4 linked regions of the Oryctolagus cuniculus genome follow. The protein of the gene in region 1 interacts with the protein of each later gene in a biochemical or structural test. Links are inferred from orthologs where the notes say so. Each region holds a gene or a part of one and is shown on either strand. Other genes may lie near its edges.

Region 1 (4,891 bases):
GACAGAAGCCGAGTGAGGAGAACATCACAGGGGACGACTACGTATCCTTCCTGTGTCTCTGTGTTTAATTCCAAGGCAGGGCCACAGAGACACACACAGAGACAGAGCGCCAGAGAGAGCGAGGGAGAGGGAGGGAGAGCGAGAGGGAGCGAGAGAGAACAAGAGAGCGAGAGACAGAGAGAGAGCGAGAGACAGTGAGAGAGCGAGAGACAGAGAGCGAGCGAGAGAGAGCAAGAGAGCGAGAGAGAGCGAGAGAGCGAGAGAGAGAGAGAGCGAGAGACAGAGAGAGAGAGCGAGAGAGAGAGCGAGAGACAGAGAGCGAGCGAGAGAGCGAGAGAGAGCGAGAGCGAGCTCTTCTGGTTCACTCCCACCCAGATGTCTGCAGCTGCTGGGCTGGGTCAGGCCAAAGCCAGCAGCTGGCCGCTCCCCAGGCCCTCACGGCAGTGGTCCTGGCGGGGGAACCAGAAACGTACGTTCAGGGCACAAGACAGAAACCAGAGCCCCATCTCCAACGTCCATCTCCAGGGGCACTCTGGGAGGGAGGGGTGCGGGGCACAGCCGAGGGCCCTCAGCCTGCACTGCTGCCACCCGAGCACTGGGGCCTGCGGCGGCGCCCTGACCTCTGCCCACTCCGCGCCAGGGCAGAGGCACCCCCACTCGCACCGAGCGGCCCGGGGTAAAACCACCGGGCTGAGAACACAGCTCGGAGCGCGGGGCACTCGGGCAGGCGTGCGCACCGAGGGAGGGCGGCGGGAGGTTCCGGCGGCCGCCCGACCCGCTGCCCACTGGCCTGGCTGTGAGCCAGCGCCCGCCAAGTCCGTGGCCGAGCGGCCCCGCGCCCGCACCTCCTCTCCCCCACTCCCGCAGCTGTGGCGGGGCGAGGGCTGGGCGCTCACCGATGAGGGAGTTGAGCGAGGAGTAGGAGCTCACGCGGCGCATCTTGTCGATGGTCTCGAAGGACAGGATGTACTCCTCGTTCTCCGGGCTGCCCAGGGTGCTGCTGGCGCTGCTGCTGGTGCTGAGGTTGCCGGGGGAGAAGGCCACCGAGCTGCCCGCTGCAGGACACGGCGCAGGGCGTCGGGTGCGGCTCAGGCACCCCTGGCCTTGCTCTGTGGCTCCTGGCCTGCCTCAGATGTGTCTGCTCCTGCACAATGAGGCTCACCACACACACACCCACACACACACACACCCCTGTGCACAGGTGGGTACACACCACACACGTACACACACACACACCTGTGCACATGTAGGTACACACACACACGTACACACACACCTGTGAACAGGTGGGGACACACACACACACACACCTGTGCACAGGTGGGTACACACACACACCTGTGCACATGTGGGTACACACACACGTACATACACACACACCTGTGCACAGGTGGGGACACACACACGTACACACACACGTACACACACACACGTACATACACCCCTGCACACAGGTGGGGACACACACACCCTGCCTCTTCTCCTTTGAACCAAGCTCCATGGCATGGTTACTCCTGGGAGACCGGGGCGGGGGGGTGGCTGTCTGAGGGTGTGGCTGTCTGAGGGGGGCGGCTGTCTGAGGGTGGCGGCTGTCTGAGGGTGGCGGCTGTCTGAGGGTGTGGCTGTCTGAGGGGGGCGGCTGTCTGAGGGGGGCGGCTGTCTGAGGGGGGCGGCTGTCTGAGGGGGCGGCTGTCTGAGGGTGTGGCTGTCTGAGGGCCACCTGTCCCCAGCTGAGCCTGTGGTCTCTGCAGATGTGCAGCACTGGCCACTGTGAGCAGAACCCCGGCTTCCGTGCTACGCCCGCGGCTGGCCAACCACCACGGCTGCAGACAGGGCAGACCCAGCGGCACGGCACCCCCGAGGCCCTCAGGGCCCAGGCCGCGAGCCCGCCCGCGCCCCACCTTCTTCTGTCAGGCTCAGGTTCTGCAGAGATTTGTTGAGGCTCCTGGCTGTGGTGACTGCGCGGATGTTTCCATACGAGCTCACAGAACGGAGTCTGGGGGTGCACGGACTCTCCCGCACCGGGGTCACGCTGCCCCCCTCTAGGGCAGAAGGGAAAGCGTTAGCGCCAGGCTTCCACAGAAGGGCAGCGGCTGCTCTGGGCACAGCAGGTTCAGTCGCTGCCCGGTTCCAGTCCCGGCTGCTCCGCTTCCCATCCAGCTCCCTCCTAACGCGGCTGGGAAGCAGTGGAAGATGCCCCAAGCGCTTGGGCCCTGCACCCGCGCGGGAGACCCGGACAGAGCTCCAGGCTGCCGGCTCGCAGCCATCCGGGGAGTGAACCAGCAGATGGAAGATCTCTCCCTCTCTCTAGTTCTGACTTTCAAATAACTAAACAAATCTATTTTTAAAAATTTATTTAAAAGGCAGAGTTAAGATTTATTTATTTGAAAGTCAGAATTAGAGAGAGAGGAGACACAGAGACAGAGACAGATCTTCAATCCAGTGGCTCACTCCCCACATGGCCACAACAGCTGGGGATGGGCTGGGCTGGTGAAGCCAGGAGCTTCCTCCAGGTCTCCCACATGGGTGCAGGGGCCCAAGCACTTGGGCCATCTTCTGCTGCTTTCCCAGGCCACAGCAGAGAGCTGGGTGGGAAGTGGAGCAGCCGGGACTAGAACTGGCACCCATATGGGATGCTGGCACTGCAGGCTGTGGCTTAACCCACTGTGCCACAGCACTGGGCCCAGTAAATCTTTAAATAAAACCTAAAAAAAAAAAAAAAAGAAAAAGAAAAAAGGAAGGTCCTCGCCCTCTTGCCTCAGCTGCGGCGACAGGAGGTGGCGCCTGTTTCTGGGCAGGACCGAGCTGAGGGAAGGGGCTTTCAGCTCTGGGGCCATGGGCAGGAGCTGGAGAGCCCAGCAAGGCAGCTGCCTGTCTTTGAGAATGTTAAACGGCAAAAGGCCACACGGCACAGGACGGGGCCCACGCGGCCTCAGTGACATGGGCTGTGGGCTGCTGGGGCCTGGCCACTCTGGTTCTGCCACCCCTCCCAGGTCTGCTCCTGGTCACGAGCCCTCGGCAATGGCGGTGATGTCGGGGAGGGGTTGACCGTGTTCTCCAGAGAAAAGCAGACGCGAGAGGGGGAGCCTCCCGGCCTGACTCGGGGCCGCATGGGCCTGAGGTCACTCCTCGCCCACGTGCGTTCTCCACCCCCACGGCAGAAGTTCTGCCGTCCGCCACGATGTCCATGAATTTGATCGAAGGAAAGGGGGAGAGGAAGGGGGTCATTGCCCCCCACGGTTTGCTGAGCGCCTGAGACGGCCGGAGGCAGGCCTGAGGAACCCGACTGGAGCCCTGGCTCGGCGAGGGGCCTGGCCGGCAGCGGGAGGGGGCGGTGGCTTCTGCTGGAGCGGGGATGGGTTGCAGGGCTTCAAAAACAAGGGGGTACCTGTGGTCGCGGGGGAAGGCAGGGGGTAGTTCTTCTCCTCCTCCATGAACTGCAGGGCCACGGTGCAGAAGTTGCTTTCATACTGCACGACGAGATGACTCAGGGCCACCACCAGCTCCTGCCGAGAGGTACAGGGACGTGAACGCTCACCGGGCTGGTAACGAGACTCACGTCAGTGCCGGACGCCTGAGACGCCACAGAGAGAGAGAGGTCCAAACACAACCCTGCGACCAGTGTTAGAGACAGGACCCTTCCAGCTGTTGTGAGAGGGGGTGCAAAGCAAGGGGCCTCCCCGGGCTCCACACGCAGGGGCTGCAGAGCAGGGGGTGCCTCTCCGGGCTCCACATGCAGGGGCTGCAGAGCAGGGGGTGCCTCTCCAGGCCCCATGGGTGGCCTCATGCTTGCCGGAGTTGCACGCTGTTAGCCCTGGTGCAGGGAGTGGCCTTATGGGGCCTGAGCTCTCGTGGGGTGCGGGCTGCTTCCTGCCCGGCCTCTGGTCACACTGAACAGCGAGTGCCCGCCTCTGGCTCCCCTCCCCCACCCCGCCCAGTCAAGTCCTCCCATCTCCGGGCGGTTTGCAGAGGGAGGAGACGTTTAGCGAGGGTCTGGGGAACAGAGCAGCCTTCCCTTCCGACGCGTGTGAGCTCATCACGGTGCAATCTTCAACACGTGTCGTCAGGACACACGTGGCTCGGACCAAACACGTGGCTGGGGGCGGGGGCTGGCTCACAAGCACTTGCGAACGAAACCTAAAGTATCCAGACAGTTCTTACGTCTGTCCTAAGGCCGACAACAGCGAGTGAGCTTGGAACACGGGCGCTGGGCCCTGGGGCTGGGGTCACAAACAGCACCCCGGCCCACCCTGCCCGACAAGGTCGGTGCCCGCAAGTGTGCAACCTGCAGATTCTCCTCAGGACCAGCAAGGTCCGAGTAACAAGGGCGGCCCCGCGTGCCTGCCGGCTCCAGCCTGTCAGTGAGCTCCTAGACAGTGGAGGACAACGCGGCAGATGTGGGAGGAGGCGTAAACGCCACGTCACAAAGAGCCGCCGGCACACCCTTGCTCTCTGGCGCCGCGGCGCTGAGCTGGGGAGCGGGCGGGGATCTGTGCCCTGCCTGCCCTGCAGCCAGAGCCACACTCCAGTCCCCCCAGGCTGGGGTCCCCAGGGGCCCTGGCGAAGATCAGCCACGCGGCTGCAGGCCCACAGGGAGTTCTGCGGCTCTGGGCCTGCTGGGCCGCGGGGTTGGGCAGGAGCTGGACGCAGGTTCTCCGGGGAGCAGAACAAAGGCTCCCGCCCGGCCGCTGCGCAGCGACACCCCTCAGAGGCCCTTCCTGCGGCCCTCTGCCACTGCCGGCCGAGGACAGGCTTGCGGGGGCACCCGTGGAGCAGATCCGAGGGAACCCCAGCTCCTGACAATGGGCCGCCAGAGGAGCCACGGCCGTCTCACTCGCACCACCTGAAGGATGAGCAGCCCCTGGGCACACGGTGGCCGACCCTGCCCAGG
Region 2 (5,627 bases), on another chromosome or scaffold:
TCCTCCTCAGAGGCGCAGGAGTAGCCCCCACTGGAGTCCTTGGGGCAGAGGAAGAGAGTGAGGGGCCACGGACTCATGGCTTCTAGGTATGAGCGCAGCCTCGTAGGGAAACTGAGGCACAGAGGTGGCATGGCACTTGCCCAGGGTTACCCGGCACAGCCAGGACTGGAACCCGAGGCTCCTGGTGCCCAGGCGGCAGCTGGGCAGCCATGGCAGGAGACACCCCGTGCCCACGAGGACAGCTAGCACCAGAGACCTGAGGACCAGCGGCGGCGGGCGCACAGGGACGCCGGAGCCCCACACGCTGCAGGCGGCCACGTGCAACAGGGCCGGGCTGGGGACACGGTGCGGCACTTCCTCCCCAGGCCCGGCAACGCCGCTCCGCGGGGAGTGCCCAGGACAAGGGGAACGTGTCCACGCCAGAAGGCATTCACAGACAGCCCGACAGAGACGTGGCCCAGCCTCAGGCAGCTGCCAGGCCCCGGGGGAGGCCCCTGGGTGCGGTGACGGCCATCACTGAGGCCAATGGGCTTACTACGAAGCCGGGTCTTCACAGCCCACCGACCTCCTGCTGAGTAGCCTCGCGCCCGGGGCCGGACAGGGGCGCAGGGAGGGGGCGAGCGGCGGCAGTGGCCTCTGCACCTGGGCGGGCCTCCGCTCTCCTTCCTCCAACGGGCGTCCTCGGCCCACCTCACCCAGAGGCCGAGAGGACCCGGGCCCCGGCCAGGCATCCCCGGGCCCCAGGGGCAGGCCTGGGACTGGACCCCGGGGAAGCGCGCGGTGCCAGGGCACGCAGGGCGCAGCACACTGACCTTCTTGGAGAACAGGATCTGCGTGCAGTCTCCGGCCTCCTCCACGGGGGCCCAGTGCAGCAGCACATCGCCGTCCTGGGGGGAGTGGGACAGGTCCCGGGGCTCAGCCCTCCGAGTGGGAGCCACGGACGCCCTCAAGGCCGGGCCCCCTGCACGCCGCGTCCACCCCACCCGGCCCACCTTCTCCACCACACGGATGACGCCCGCGATGAGCGAGTCCGGGTCCTGGTGCTTCTTGGCGCTGGTGTGCAGGTACACGCCGCCCTTCTCGAACACTACCTGGGGGCGGGACCCGAAGGGAGCCGATGGGGGCGGGTCCGGCGGGAGCCAATGGGGGCGGGTCTGGAGGGGGCGGGGCCCCGAAGGGAGCCGTGGGGGCGGGTCCGGCGGGAGCCAATGGGCGCGGGTCCGGGGGGAGCCAATGGGGGCGAGTCTGGCGGGGGCGGGGCCCCGAAGGGAGCCGATGGGGGCGGACCAGGGAAGTCAGCGCGTGGAGGCCCCGCCCACAGGGCGGCCGCGCGCTCCGAAAGGGGCGGAGCTCGCAAGGTCCCCAGAGTCCGGGGGCGGGGCTAGGGGGTAGGGTCTTCCCACACCCGGTTCCCACGGCTCTGTGGAGTTCCGGGCCTCCCTGGCACGGCCTGGGGAGAGGCAGATCACCGGACAGGGTCGTTTCGCATAGGCAGAAGCGAGTGAATGCGCCCCCAGTGCTTACCCTGTAGCCGGCTCCCTCCATAGCCTCGGTCGAGATCCTGCTGCCCCAGCCTCCTCCTTTTCCGGGTCAACGTAGTGTCATATCCGGAAGGGAGACTCCCCCGCACGGCCGCACGGTGGTTGCGCCCTTATGCATTCTAGAGCAGGAGTGGGTGAAACCATCTTTTAGACATGGGGGGGTGGAATTCTAAGGATGCGAGTCACATGGCGCGGACTCTAGCAGAGGAGCTGGCCAGCGAGAGTGCGCAGGCTCAGTGTCACGGTGCTCACCACGAAGTAAACAAGTGGGAGGATCCGGGGCTCCTCCCCGTGTCTCCCTGAAACCGCCCCCTTCCTGCTTCGTACTGTGTACTGGCAGCGAAGCCAAGGGGTGCCATGTTGCTCGAGGGCACGGCCGTACCCGCTAGCCTGAGGCCATGTTAATGCGGGGCAGTTCCATCTCTCTGCGGGGCGAGGTAGCGAGGTGCTCGAGAAGAGGAACGGATAAAGGCAAAGAAGGTGAGAGGAGCTGTGCGTCGCCCGAGAGCCGACGGACTCGGTACGACGGGACCAAGCCGTCGGCGTCCCCAGGACCGAAGCTGTCCCAGGCGAATTCCTGAGTCACCCTCGAAGCGGGCCGAGTCGCCATGTTGAAGCTGGGCAAACCGAAGCGAGAAATGCTGCCATCTTGGGTCTTTGCCAGCCTTGGCTTCGGAGGGGGTATAGGTTAGAGGGAGAGAGAGCCCATATACACGACGGGCAGGTGAAGCCAGGCTGGTTGCCATGTCGTTAACGGGCACCACTTCCACTTTGTGGAAGAAAGGGTGAGGAACGTTAGGTCGCCCTCCCTAGTTTCTCGTGGTCACGTGTAAGCATGTGTGGGCGGCCATATTTTCTGAGGGCTCCTCGAAGCGGCTTAAGCTGGTAAGCCATTTCCACCATCTTTGTTGTGGGCTAGCCACTGTGGCCAACACTCCCACGGACCTGGATCGAACCCCATGGCGGCCATCTTGGTCTCGGGCGAGCCAGATAAGGAAGGAGGGGAGTCACCCGGAAGTGACATCAGCCCGCCGCCATGCCTTTTGAGGGCGGCGACGGCGCCTGTCCGGCCATGCTGGCTACGGGCACGTGAGTGGAGGCGGCGTTGTGAACCGCGGTGTTGGGAGGATTTGGCCATCCTGAGGCAGAGGGGCTCCGGGAAGGCGCCCGGCTCACGGGAGTGGTATGGCCTGCATAGGTCAGAGGGCAGAGCTAGCCCAGCGGCACGTGGCTGAGCGCTGGAGGGGGGTCGCCCGCGAGAACCGTCGTGTCTGACTCTAGGCAGAGCCTGGACACCCTCATTTTCCGGTGTTCGGACCCACAGGGGTCCTCACCTGGGCCGCGGACCCCGTCCACGGGCCCGAGGGGGTTGTTGGAGGGGCTCCGGGCGCCCCTCACCCGCCCAAAGGCGGGACTTCCGGCCCTGGCCCTCACCTGGGCGGGATTTCCTGTTTTGCTGGGAAAGCGGGTCAGGCCTGGATCCCCGGGGGCTGCGGGGAGGTCGCGGGGCGGCGGCCCCAAGGTCCGCCCGCGCAGGGGTGCCCCGTGCCCCTTGTTAGGGCCGCTTCCAGTCTGACAGGCTGGGGGGGCTTGGCCAGCCGCCCTCCTCCCTGGGGAGCGAGCCCCCGCCCGCACCCCGGGCCTGGCTGCTGGCCTCGGTCGCTGCTCCCCCCGGTTAGGTCCTGTTCCCTGGTGTTGGGAGCCGCGCGCCGTCGGTCAGCGAGCCCCTCCCTGCCCCCTGCCCACGCCGCCCGGTCCCACCCTGGGGCTTCGGGCCGGTGCCTCACTTCCCACCGGATGAGCGGCTCACCGATGGGTGCTGTAACCCCGGTGCTGGGCAGGCCCGGGCCGCTGGCTGTCGGTGAGCGCCCAGCTGAGGGGTCTGGGCACAGGGCAGGGCCAGGCCCACTGGCCTCTGGGATGCCGAGCTGCGAGGGGCACGCGGACCGGACCGCAGCTGGGCCTGAGCCCCCAGTCCCTGACGACACAGAGACAGGGCCAGGCCCTACCCCCTGAGCTGCACCTGCAGGCTGCTTGCCCGGGGACGCAGGGCTCTGGTGTAGGGCCCACGGTGCAGGGAGCCTAGGGCCTGGGTGGCGTGGGGATCGCGGAGGGCCTCTGGGGGCCGCTCCAGCCTTGCAGGAAGCAAGAAGCGGTGGGTGGTCCTCGGGCAGACAGCGGCCCCCCAGTCACGCCGACCACAGGCCCCGCGAGGAGACGGTGTTGCTCAGACGTGGGGGCCCGAAGCAGGAGTTTAGGAAGAGGGAAAGTTGCGTCCACGACAGGACGATGGGAAGCTTGGCCAAGAGCTGTGGGGAGCTGGGGGGAGAGCCCAGTGTTGCCCGTGGGGGCGGCGGGCCCTTGTCCTGGGTGCGGGAGGACCCTCCTGGGGCTGGGGTCACGGTGGGGGGGGACGGCTGTGCCACAAGGAACGTGGGCTCCGTGGCAGCCGCGGCCGGACGTCCCCATCTGCTTACTGCAAACGCCCCTGCCCCGCCCCGCCCACTGGACCCCACAGGAGACAGTCAGGCCCGGCGGAGGCAGAGCTGGCACTCGGCTGGGCATCAGATGCTGGCGGGAGGGACCTGGGTGGGCTCCCAGGGTGGACGGGAGCTGCGGCAGCCAGGCCTCAGCTCCCCCGTGTCCTGCTCTGGCCCACAGGGCGCGGATGGCGTTGGGGCGCCCGGAGGAGCTGTGGGAGGCTGTGGTGGGGGCCGCCGAGCGCTTCCGGGCCCGCACAGGCACGGAGCTGGTGCTGCTGACCGCGGCGCCGCCGCCGCCGCCCCGGCCGGGCCCCTGCGCCTATGCAGCCCACGGCCGGGGGGCGCTGGCCGAGGCCGCCCGCCGCTGCCTGCACGATATCGCCCTGGCCCACAGGGCCGCCGCCGCCGCCCGGCCCCCAGCGCCCCCACCAGTGCCGCAGCCTCCCAGTCCCGCACCCAGCCCGCCCCGGCCTGCCCTGCCCAGGGAGGACGACGAGGAGGACGAGGACGCGCCCACAGAGACCGAGACCTCTGGGGAGCGGCTCGGCGTCAGCGATAATGGAGGTGAGGGGAGGCGGGGGCTGGTCCCGGGCCCTCCTGTCCCCGGAGCCGCGGCCGCTTGCTGTGGCCCCGTGTGACCCGCCCTGAGCCTCATGCCAGCTCCTGCCGGGGGCTGGCACAGGCCGAGCTCCGGGGCGTCTTCCTTGGAGGCGAGGGGCTAGTGGTTCAGCCACGGAATCGGAGGCCTGAGCTGAGGCTGGGGGAGGGGGCGTGGCTGGTGCCCCTGGAGAGCGGCCTTCTCGCCTCGCCCCGGAAGCCCCCCCCAGCAGCCTGGCTCTGAGCCTGGCCCTGTCACGAGTAAGCCGTGGGACCCCGGGCGAGTGACTCCATCTCCATCAGACGGAGGTCACGCCGCGTCCGGTTTCTCTGAGCCCGCGTGGGGCTGAGCGGTGTCGCGGGACTGCAGCCAGATGCTGGCGCCCCGCGTGTGCCGGGGACCCGGCGGGTGACCCGGGGTGGGTGCTGTGGGCACGGTGATGGCGGGGCCCTCAGCCCCGGGGTGACCCGGGGTGGGTGCTGTGGGCACAGTGATGGCGGGGCCCTCAGCCCCGGGGTGACCCGGGGTGGGTGCTGTGGGCACAGTGATGGCGGGGCCCTCAGCCCCGGGGTGACCTGGGGTGGGTGCTGTGGGCACGGTGATGGCGGGGCCCTCAGCCCCGGGGTGACCCGGGGTGGGTGCTGTGGGCACAGTGATGGCGGGGCCCTCACGGCCTGGGGTGACCCGGGGTGGGTGCTGTGGGTACGGTGATGGCGGGGCCCTCAGCCCCGGGGTGACCTGGGGTGGGTGCTGTGGGCACGGTGATGGCGGGGCCCTCAGCCCCGGGGTGACCTGGGGTGGGTGCTGTGGGCACGGTGATGGCGGGGCCCTCAGCCCCGGGGTGACCTGGGGTGGGTGCTGTGGGCACGGTGATGGCGGGGCCCTCAGCCCCGGGGTGACCTGGGGTGGGTGCTGTGGGCACAGTGATGGCGGGGCCCTCACGGCCCGGGGCCCGCCCCCTCCCAGGGCTGTTTGTGATGGACGAGGACGCCACCCTCCAGGACC
Region 3 (5,579 bases), on another chromosome or scaffold:
ACGCGCGACTTCCCCGGCCCCCACTCTGTTGGGACCGGGGAACCTCGCCCGGGAGCGGAACCCCAATAAAAGCCTGTGAATTAATTGATTCGTCTGCCTGGGAAGATTTGTTGTGCACCTGGACACCTTACAATAGCCTCCACATAATGATCAGAGAAAGGCTCTGACTAAAATAATCAGAATTACTAAGAAACTAATTCAAAAATTGAAAAAAAAAAAAACTTGCAAATAGCCAAAACTCTAAGTATTTCTAGAATCACTGTTGTTTTTTTAAATCGCTATTCAATATTAACATTTTAGGGCCGGTGCCGCGGCTCAGTAGGCTAATCCTACGCCTTGCGGCCCTAGCACACCGGGTTCTAGTCCCGGTCGGGGCGCCAGATTCTGTCCCGGTTGCCCCTCTTCCAGGCCAGCTCTCTGCTGTGGCCCGGGAGTGCAGTGGAGGATGGCCCAAGTGCTTGGGCCCTGCACCCCACGGGAGACCAGGAGAGGCACCTGGCTTCGGATTAGCGCAGTGCACCGGCCGTGGTGCGCCGGCCACGGCAGCCATTGGAGGGTGAACCAATGGCAAAAAGGAAGACCTTTCTCTCTGTCTCTCTCTCTCTCTCACTGTCCACTCTGCCTGTCAAAAAAAAAAATAAATAAATAAATAAAAAATTTAACCACGAAGTCCTCCATAACCCCAGCACTGTATTTATCAAAAGCCAAACAATGTGCAGTATAGATTAACGGCAGGTTGTATCACCAACTTGCAATAATCTGTAATCTGGGCCCACGATTCAAATGTCAATTATATTTGTTTTATTTCAAAAGAGAAAATTACAGCAAGAGAAGTTAGCACTTCAACTGGAGACAGAGGTTGGATTAGTCTACAGCAGTGACAGAAACAGCTTCTAAATCGACATCACCCTCAGATTAAAGAAAAAAATCTCATCAGCTAAGGGAAAAAAATGCTTTCAACTGACATATCCTAAAGATTTTTTTTCAGTTCATATTTTATATAATTAAAGGGGGGAGGGGTGTCAAAGGGCATGACGGGCAATCCTGAGCCTCTCATGAGATAGTCACTGGTGTACTCACCAGCAGGCATGACAACAATAACACGTGTGACACAGAAGGGATACCAGGGGCAGTACTTTCTTTATTTTTTAAATTATTTTAATTTTTTGACAGGCAGAGTGGACAGTGAGAGAGAGAGACAGAGAGAAAGGTCTTCTTTTTGCCGTTGGTTCACCCTCCAATGGCCGGCGCGGCCGGCGCACCGCGCTGATCTGATGGCAGGAGCCAGGTGCTTCTCCTGGTCTCCCATGGGGTGCAGGGCCCAAGCACTTGGGCCATCCTCCACTGCACTCCCGGGCCACAGCAGAGAGTTGACCTGGAAGAGGGGCAACTGGGACAGAATCCGGTGCCCCGACCGGGACTAGAACCTGGGGTGCCGGTACCGCAGGTGGAGGATTAGCCTAGTGAGCCGTGGCGCCGGCCTCCAGTACTTTTTCAGAGCCTAATTTCTTTCAGGCCTGACCTAATTTCTCTTTTCACTTCTTAGCTGGGGTGGGGGTGGGGGTGGGGGTGGGGGTGGGGGGAAGTCATGCTAATTTTCACAGCTGTATACTGGGGAGCAATTCGCTCCTAAAGCAAACGAAAACATGCAGGATTCAATTATTCAAAAATAATTCCAACTACTTCTATCTAGTCAAGGTGATTGGTAAAGCAAGTGCTCCATGGCATTTCTGAAGTCATCATCACTCAGATTTGCATACGTTTCTTAAACAGACTCGCACACAGCAGTAAAAGAGGCTAAAAATCCCGAAATTATCACTGATGCTATTTTAAGGGACGCTGGGTGTACCACAAAGATCTCAGGCTTCAATCTCAAGACTGACACTTTCTTCTATGACCTTAGAAAATTGGCACCTAACAGAGGGATATTACCAGCTTTTCCTTTGGGGTGGGGTGGGGGGGCTGTTCAAATAAAATACGGATGTGGCACACAGTAAGGGGCACGAAGCAGTCCACAAATTAGTGCTCAGTTACTTCATTCATCAGGAAAAGACACACTCATGAGACTGAGAAGCAGGAGAATCTACTTCTGCACGAAGCGCCTCTTCCGAGGGAGCCTTGCGTGTGACTGTGCAAAAAAAGTCCCCGAAAGGCGGAATGTATACACTGACCGCTAAAATACCAACAGCAAAACCCTCGGTCCTCGGGCCAACACGACAGGATGCATCTATACTGGTTAGGAGCTCACCTGAGAGGAGGGAAGAGAGGGAGAGGAAAAAAAAAAAAAAAAAAAGAGCAAATTGGGCCCAACTGCAAGCAGATTTAATAAACCAAGAGGGATGCCGGCTGCTTATTCCTGAAACGCACGGTAACACATGCATGCCCGTTTAAACATTAAAAAAAAAAAAAAAACTGCAAGACGAATTCTTCATACAAGCCACACTGCCGACCTGGGTGCTTTTTCGGAAGGCCTGCTCAGGCGAGCACCAGCTAACGACCGCTGAGGGACAGACACTTCACGCACAGCCGGCCGCCGTTCCGCACACACGCAGGGTCCAACCGCGTCCAAGCCCAGGGCCATGCATCTGACGGCATTCCCGGCTTCGCGAGCACCCCGGGGCGCGACGGATGCTTCCGTTCCCCTCCTGGGCTGGGGATCGGGAATCTGGGCTTGCAATCTACATTTCTGAAATCTTGGGGGGTGGGGTGGAGGAGCCGGGCTGGAAACCCAGCGGCTATCCGGTGCAGGGCGTCCGCGGGTCCCGGCCTCCGCCCCCCTGCGGCGAGCGAGGGCCCGGCCCGGGACCGGCCACCGGCCACGAGCAGCGACATCTTAAACCTCGAGCCGGGGCCCTGCCCGAGGGAGCCCGGGACTGGGGTCGACCGCTGCGCGGGAGGCCGAGACGCGGGCGAGGCCGCGGCGCATCCGCTGCAGCCCCGGGCGGGGGAGCGGGCCAGGCCTGCGGGGCGGGCGCCGACACTCACCACACCATGCCGTAGGCGCCCTCGCCGATGTACGAGAGGTTGGTGTAGCGCGGCCCCACGTCGAACACCTGCCCGCGGACCATCTCCGGGCCCGTGCCCGCCGCCGCCGCCGCCGCCATGTTGGCTGCCGGGCCGCCGCCGCCGCGCTGGGCTCGACGCTCCGCGGCCGCCGCTCCGCTCCCGCCGCGCTTCCCCAAGGGACCGCGCCGCCGTCCGTGCAGCCGCCGCAGCTGACCGCCAAAGAGGCAGGACGGCGCCGCTTTCGGGGAAGCGGAGAGCCGACGTCCGCTCGCCTCGACTGCCCGTCTCACTTACTGACTGACGGGCGGGCCCGCGGGCGGAGGGAGGGGCGCGCGCCGAGCAGGGCGCCGGGGCGGGGCCGAGCAGCGTGCTCGAGGATTGGCTGCCTGCGGCTGGGGGCGGGGCCGCGCGGGCCGGCGGAAGCGGCGAGCTCAGGGCGGAGCGCTGCGGCGGCGGCGGCGGCGGCGGCGGCGGCTGCGGAGGAGGCGCCGAAGGGCGCGGTCACGTGCGTTCGCTGGTGAGTCGGCGCGGGAGGCGGCTGAGGAGACGCTGAGAGCGGAATGGGGAGACGGGGCGTCACGGGGCTGACCCTGAGGGGCCGGGGCTGGGGCCGGGCGGCGAGCTCGGGCAGTGCGGGGGAAGACGAACGACGCTGCACACGTGGGCTTCGGGCCCTCTGGGGCCCAAACGCTCTGAACAACTTAGGAGGTGTGGAGATTATGTTAGGAACCAGAATACGTGGTCCAGACCGAAGAAGAGATTTGAGTACTGAGAACGTGTGAGACAGGAGAGGCCGAGTGGGTCTGCCCTTAGATCCGCCCTCGTAGAAGATAACTTCCGGAGAGAGGTTTCTCAGGCTGAGGTACTTTCTATGGAGAAATGTCAAGCAGAGTAAGGGGCAGAGAGGAGTGGGTTGAGACACCTGAGGAAGACTCGAGTTGCCACTGTGAGACCGAGACCCATGTTAGGCCGGATGGACATGAGCTTTGAGACGTAGAACGTACTGAGCTGGAAACACCAGGGTGGAATCGCTAAAACCAATAGTCACAGACACATGAGAGGCTGAAAATTAAAAAACTGCAATCTTGAAGCAGACGGATGCCAAGGAAGCTCAGGCCACGCGGTGGAAGATGGGCCAGCCACCGCCTCGGAACCATTTCCTTGCCGTCTGCAGAGGGAAGTGAGAAGGCAGACTCCCCTCATAGCCTTCAGAGCTGCTAATTCGAGACGGCTGGAAATCAATAAAGATTAGCCAGTCAGTCTGGCGCGTTAAAAGCCCTGTGGGAGAGAAAAAAAATAGTGTTACATAAGGGGAAAAAAGTGCTACACCCAAAAGTGAGTTCAAATGTTAGTCCGTGAAGCAGAACCCAATTTTGAAAACACCTAATTCTTATTCTTGATTCTGAAAGGACATTGCATCTCTTTTTAAAAACAGGATGATGAGGCCGGCGCCGCGGCTCAGTAGGCTAATCCTCCACCTTGCGGCGCCGGCACACCGGGTTCTAGTCCCGGTCGGGGCGCCGGATTCTGTCCCGGTTGCCCCTCTTCCAGGCCAGCCCTCTGCTGTGGCCAGGGAGTGCAGTGGAGGATGGCCCAGGTGCTTGGGCCCTGCACCCCATAGGAGACCAGGAAAAGCACCTGGCTCCTGGCTCCTGCCATCGGATCAGCGCGGTGCGCCGGCCGCAGCGCGCCGGCCGCGGCGGCCATTGGAGGGTGAACCAACGGCAAAGGAAGACCTTTCTCTCTGTCTCTCTCTCTCACTGTCCACTCTGCCTGTCAAAAAAAAAAAAAAAAAAAAAAAAAAAAAAAAAAAAAAAAAAAAAAAACAGGATGATGAGGGACTGGCATTGTGGCACAGCAGGTAAAGCTGCCGACTGCAGTGCCAGCACCCCAAGTGGGCACTGGTTTGTATCCAAGCTGCTCCACTTCTGATCAGGCTCCCTGCTAACAGCCTGGGAGTAGCAGTGGAAAGTGGCCCAACACCTGCCACCGACGTGGGAGACTAGGAAGAAGCTTCTGGTTCCTGGCTTTGGCCTGGCCCAGCTGTGGCTGTTGCAGCCATCTGGGAAGTGAAACAGTGGATGGAAGATCTGTGTGTGTATGTGTAACTCTTGACTTTCAAATAAATGAATGAATCCTTAAAAAAAAGGCTGAAGTAAATGGAGAGTATCATGAAATCAAAATCACAATAACCAAGACAAAAGCAATGGTTGAAGGAGTTATAAGAAGGCTTGATAATACAAAAGGGCAAATCAGCAATGTAAAAGACAAATGTGAGGAGATACTTTAAGAATATAGAACAAGTGATGGAATTTTTTTTTAAGATTTTATTTATTTGAGCGGTAGAGTTACAGACATTGAGAGGGAGAGAAGCCAGGAGCCAGGTGCTTCCAGTCTCCTATGTGGGTGCAGGGGCCCAAGGACTTGGGCCATCTTCTACTGCTTTCCCAGGCCACAGCAGAGAGCTGGATGGGAAGAGGAGCAGCTGGGTCTCTAACCGGCACCCATGTGGGATTCTGGCGCTGCAGGCGGAGGATTAACCTACTGCACCACAGCGCCGGCTCCAGTGATGG
Region 4 (4,891 bases), about 34 Mb from region 1:
CTGTCTCTGTCTCTGTCTCTCCTTTTGAGGGTCTGTGCCACATTGCCCTTTAAATAAATTAATTAAAAACAAAAGACAGTCCCTAAGACATAAAAACAATCCTAAAGCATACATTTTCAAACTAAGTCCCCAGGTCTCTATTTTTAGCAGAATTCTGATTCCTCTGTGAAACTTTTAAGTTTAAAAACTAGAAATAATTTGGAATTTACATCTACAACCTTGAAAGTGTGTGTGGATTCCAGACTTGAGGTTTAAAAAAAATAAAAAAACTTGACTGAAATCTAACATTTTACCTATAGGCAGAAAAATGTTAATATAAATTAAACTATCTTCAATAACTTTAGTGAATGCTAATATTCCGTATTTTCAGAACCCTTAAAAAACTGAATGAACCTGGCAGAGGCCTTGTAAAAAGAATGGCACAAATACATATCAAAATAATGATAATAAAGGATTATATACACTGAATAATCTTAGAACCCGAAAGTCCACAATAAGGTAAATAAATGAATAAATTTTTTAAATGGAGAAGTGAAAGTTCTTCATAACAGTAGAGTGCTATGTGATAAATGAAGGGGGCAAAATAAAATAGGAAACATCATTTGGCAAACATCACAATTACTGCAGGCAAGAATCAATGGATACCAAAACTGAATATGAAAGCTTGATGAAAGATGAAATATTTATTGTTAAAAGATGCTTATTGATTACAAAGAGAAAACTCTACCTGGAAAAAAAAAAAAAAAAAACAGAAGACACCAATCTTATACACATGACCAAAGTGACTTTTACCACTAACGGGACAAAGATATCAATGTCATGTATCTCCTGATCTCAGGCACTGAGGACACAACGTCACTTCAATAGTCCTGCCAAAACACATACCTTGAATCCAATCCTAAAGAACTGGATAAACCTAAATTGAGGCATTCCACAAAACCACCAGCCTGTACTCTTCAAGATTACCAACATCGTTAAAGAAAAAGAAAGACTGAAGTACTATTCAGATTAAAGATTAAAAGAAACTAAGGAGAGAGATTACTGTATCAATGTTAATTCCCCATTTTAGGTAAATTAGTAGTTATATAAGACACTGCCCTTTTTTTTAGAAAATAAACCCTGCAGTTTTAGGGATGAAGGCAAATCATGTCTGTAATACTCTCAAACAGTTCAAAAAAATAAAAAAAAAAAAATCACACATCTGTATACATACAGGTATATGTGTGTGTATATATGTGCATTTATACAGATACATATAGAACGATGTATAAACTAATCATATATGGTAAAATGATAGTATTTAGGGACTCCAGGTGACAAAATTAAGGGAATTCTTTTTTTAAAAGTATTTGTTTTATTTAAGAGACAGAGTGAGTTAAAAAAAAAAATAGAGGAAGAGAGAACTCTCATCTTCTACTGTCTCATTCCTCAAATGTAATGGGTAACAGGGCTAAGCAGTAGGGCGGGAGCAGGTGGTGAGCCAGGGACTCAATCCAGATTTCCCATTTGGGTGGCAAGAACCCGATTACTCCAGCCATCACTACTGCCTCCCAGGCTCTGTACTAGCAGGAAGGTGGAATTAGGAGCCAGACCCAGCCATTCCATCTGAGATATGGGCCTCCTAATCACTGCTTACCTGCTCTGTGTAAGTCTGAAATAATGTCAAAATAAAGTTACAAGAAGGGCAGGTGCTTAGCTTAGTTGTTAAGACTAGTTAAGATGCTCATGTCTCACAATGATATACTTGGGCTGAATGCTCAGCTCTGGTTCCTAACTCTTAGCTTCCTACTAATCCAGGCCCTGGGAGACAGTGATGATGGTTCAAGTAATTATGTTCCTGCCACTCAGGTGAGAAACCTGGATAGAGTTTCAGGCTCCTGGCTTCAAGCTCTTCCCAGAATATTATAAGAATTTAGGAAGTGAACTAGTAGATGAGAGTACTCACATTTGCTCACACTCACTCTTGCTGGCTCTCTGCCTCTCAGATAAAGAACCATTGTGAAAAGCCATACGAAAAAAATGGCAATAGCCACTTTTTAAAAGTTGCTAGGGGGAGCTAGTGTTGTGGTATAGAAGGTAAAGCTGTCACCTGCAGTACCCACATACCATATGGGCGCAGGATCAAGACATTGCTGCTCCACTTCCAATCCAGCTCTCTGCTATGGTCTGGGAAAGCAGTGGAGGATGGCCCAAGTCCTTGAGCTCCTATGCCCATGTGAGAGACCCAGAGGAGGCTCCTGGCTCATTGCTTCTGATCAGCCCAGCTCCAGCCATTCAGCTATTAGGGGAGTGGACCAGTGGATGGAGGACTTTTCTCTTTTTGTCTCTTCCTCTCTTTATGACTCTGCCACTCAAATAAATAAAGAAAATATTAAAGAAAAAAAAAGTTGCTAGGGTTCGCTGTTGTAGTGCAAAGAGTTAAGCAGCCATCTGCATGCCAGCATCTCATATGGATGCTAGTTTGAGTTTTAGCTGCTCTACTTCTGATCCAGCTCCCTGCTAATGTGCCTGGGAAGGCAGCAGAGGATGGCCCATGTCCTTGGGTCCCTGCACCCACATAGGGTGACCTGGAAGAAGCTCCTGGCTCCTGGCTTTGGCATGGCCCAGCCCTGGCTGTTGTGGACATTTGGAGAGTGAACCAGCAGACAGAATCTCTCTCTCCCTCTTTCTCTCTCTCCCTCTCTCTGTAATTCTGCCTTTCAAATAAATAAACCTTTAAAAAAAAGTTGCTAAATTCTGCAGCTTTTGTTCCAAGTTCCAAATTATTGCAAAAATCTGTTTCTTAGAAAACCGAAGTGTATTTGCTGGAATCAGACACCTATGCTCTAGAAATGATATGTGAAGCAAAAAGTTCCTAGGTGATGGTAGGCCTTGGAAACCAGATGATTTCCAATGCAAACTGTATACTCTGTCACTAAGGCTACACTGCACTAAAAATTTTTTCTATTTATGGGTCTAGTATTGTGGCATAGGTTAAGTCACCACCTGCTACACCAGCATCCCATATGAGCTCCAGTTCCTGTCCCAGCCATCCCACTTCCAATCCAGCTCTCTGCTAATATGCCTAGGAAAGCAATGGAAGATGGTCCAAGGGCATGGCCTCCTGCCACCCATGCAGGAGACCCTGGCTTTGGTCAGGACCAGGCTATTGCAGCCATCTGGGGAGAGAACCAGGAGATGGAAGATCTCTCTCTCTCTACCATTCAAATAAATAAATAAACCTTTAAAAAATTTCTATTTAAAGATGCAACTTTAAAAATATTCAGTATTTTAAAACAATATTCTCAGTAAGTTCTTCCATTTCAGTTTAGAAACGAATACAGTAATGGTTCATCTGAATTATACAACCCTATCCTTGTACAATTTGACAGCTCTGTATCAATTAGGTGTTTTTTTTTTTGTTTAGTGACTGATTATAAAGAGATTAAAATAAAATTTCACAGATGGGAAAACACTGAACTTTTAAGTTTCTTTTATTTCATCTGTGTGCAAAATAGAAACATCTGGTCACATCTGAGTTCTTCACTTTAATGTATTCATCAATTTCAAGAACTATTTGATCCCAATGAGATAAAGCATTTTTCCACTGGAAAATAAAGTTTTGACTCAGTTTCTGGAACAACTGCAAATAATTATACCAAACTGTGTACTGACCACTGAGATACTCAAGGATGAGGTAGAGTTTTCCACCGGTCTGAAAGGCATAAATTAAATCCACAATGAAGGGATGCTTTACTTCCTCCAGAATATTCCGTTCTGCTTTTGTATGAGCTGTATCCTTAGCATTTCTTACTATCATTGCCTAAAGGAAAAGAGATGATCTATAAGAACAAAATAGTGAACATTTTAATACTATAGTAACTGGAATATCTATATTGTGCTTGTCTTGTCAATACAGAATAGTTCCCACTAGAAACTCTGATGAAATAATGGAATACATTCATTTCTTATACGTATTTGTACTATTTGAATTTTTTTGCAGTGAATAGATAAATGAAAACCTACAGATACAACATTTTAAGAATCTGTAAACAAATCAAGTTTAAGTTAAGTGTCTACTATGCTCCAGGCTCTGTGCCAACAAAGCAGAACTAACACAAGAAATGCCTTGTCTATAGGAGCCCAAAGTCTCAGAGGAAAAAGACAAGTCAATAGAGGTAAGCACAAGGCACTGTGGGTGAATGGGGGATTCCATTTGACCTAAAAAGAAGTCTTTCTGGACGTGGTGCTACCTAAGGTGCACCATGAAAAATTATGCAGATGTTAAACAAAAGCAGAAGGTTAAACAAAAGGCATTCCAATGTCAATGAAGCCTGGGAGAACAGGACATGTCTGAGGAGTCTCCCAGGATTTCAGTATGGTTATGGTGGTTAGAAATTAGGCTGGAAAAATCGCCTTCTATTTCCTGGCCATCTTGGCAAATATGTTGGAAAGAAGAAATGCTCAGATAAGTGAAATGAATAATCTTTGAGTTTAAGAACAACAGTTCTAGCAGCAGTGTGGAGTTTCAGAGAAGAAATGCAATTACAACAGTAAACTAAACTCCTCTTGAGACTTGTAACTAAGAAAATGAAAGCACAAAGAAAATGTTAATTACTGACTTACTAGCTATAAGAAGAATGATGATACTCTGATTTCTCCTTAAGTAATCAAACAATGCTATCCTTCAACAACATGAAATGTAAGAAAAAATTTTGGGGAGAAAAGATGAATTATTTTGGACATGCCTAAGTCTAAGTTCCAGGAAGTTACCCCAATGTACACACCTAGTATTATGAAAAGCAAATACACAGGGTTATTATTTGCAACATTATCTGTGGGGCTGGCACCATGGCACAGCAGGTAAAGCTGCTGTTTGCAGTGCCAGCATCAAGCATCCCATATGGCTCCT

The links.
Region 2: the proteins of RPTOR (region 1) and AKT1S1 interact in a biophysical measurement, tested with the Homo sapiens proteins (2 studies listed by BioGRID and IntAct, with this or other methods). The link is inferred for Oryctolagus cuniculus from reciprocal best matches to the Homo sapiens genes RPTOR and AKT1S1.
Region 3: of the proteins of RPTOR (region 1) and MAPK1, one has a biochemical effect on the other in vitro, tested with the Homo sapiens proteins (2 studies listed by BioGRID, with this or other methods). The link is inferred for Oryctolagus cuniculus from reciprocal best matches to the Homo sapiens genes RPTOR and MAPK1.
Region 4: of the proteins of RPTOR (region 1) and RPS6KB1, one has a biochemical effect on the other in vitro, tested with the Homo sapiens proteins (6 studies listed by BioGRID and IntAct, with this or other methods). The link is inferred for Oryctolagus cuniculus from reciprocal best matches to the Homo sapiens genes RPTOR and RPS6KB1.

Annotation. Positions count from the first base shown.
Region 1 is NC_091448.1:1,534,820-1,539,710, forward strand, and holds part of RPTOR (regulatory-associated protein of mTOR), read right to left. Parts: intron 3,507-4,891; coding exon 3,389-3,506; intron 2,043-3,388; coding exon 1,902-2,042; intron 1,056-1,901; coding exon 897-1,055; intron 1-896. UniProt on the Homo sapiens protein: Component of the mechanistic target of rapamycin complex 1 (mTORC1), an evolutionarily conserved central nutrient sensor that stimulates anabolic reactions and macromolecule biosynthesis to promote cellular biomass generation and growth.
Region 2 is NC_091449.1:7,694,845-7,700,471, forward strand, and holds the start of AKT1S1 (proline-rich AKT1 substrate 1), read left to right. Parts: upstream 1-2,033; 5' UTR 2,034-2,500; coding exon 2,501-2,739; exon of another isoform or gene 2,740-3,402; intron 3,403-4,202; coding exon 4,203-4,588; intron 4,589-5,588; coding exon 5,589-5,627. Other genes in the region: TBC1D17 (TBC1 domain family member 17), read right to left, coding at 1-38, 813-887, 993-1,091, 1,525-1,545. UniProt on the Homo sapiens protein: Negative regulator of the mechanistic target of rapamycin complex 1 (mTORC1), an evolutionarily conserved central nutrient sensor that stimulates anabolic reactions and macromolecule biosynthesis to promote cellular biomass generation and growth.
Region 3 is NC_091452.1:28,975,416-28,980,994, reverse strand, and holds the start of MAPK1 (mitogen-activated protein kinase 1), read right to left. Parts: upstream 3,244-5,579; 5' UTR 3,105-3,243; coding exon 2,986-3,104; intron 1-2,985. UniProt on the Homo sapiens protein: Serine/threonine kinase which acts as an essential component of the MAP kinase signal transduction pathway. MAPK1/ERK2 and MAPK3/ERK1 are the 2 MAPKs which play an important role in the MAPK/ERK cascade.
Region 4 is NC_091448.1:35,203,192-35,208,082, reverse strand, and holds part of RPS6KB1 (ribosomal protein S6 kinase beta-1), read right to left. Parts: intron 3,803-4,891; coding exon 3,655-3,802; intron 1-3,654. UniProt on the Homo sapiens protein: Serine/threonine-protein kinase that acts downstream of mTOR signaling in response to growth factors and nutrients to promote cell proliferation, cell growth and cell cycle progression.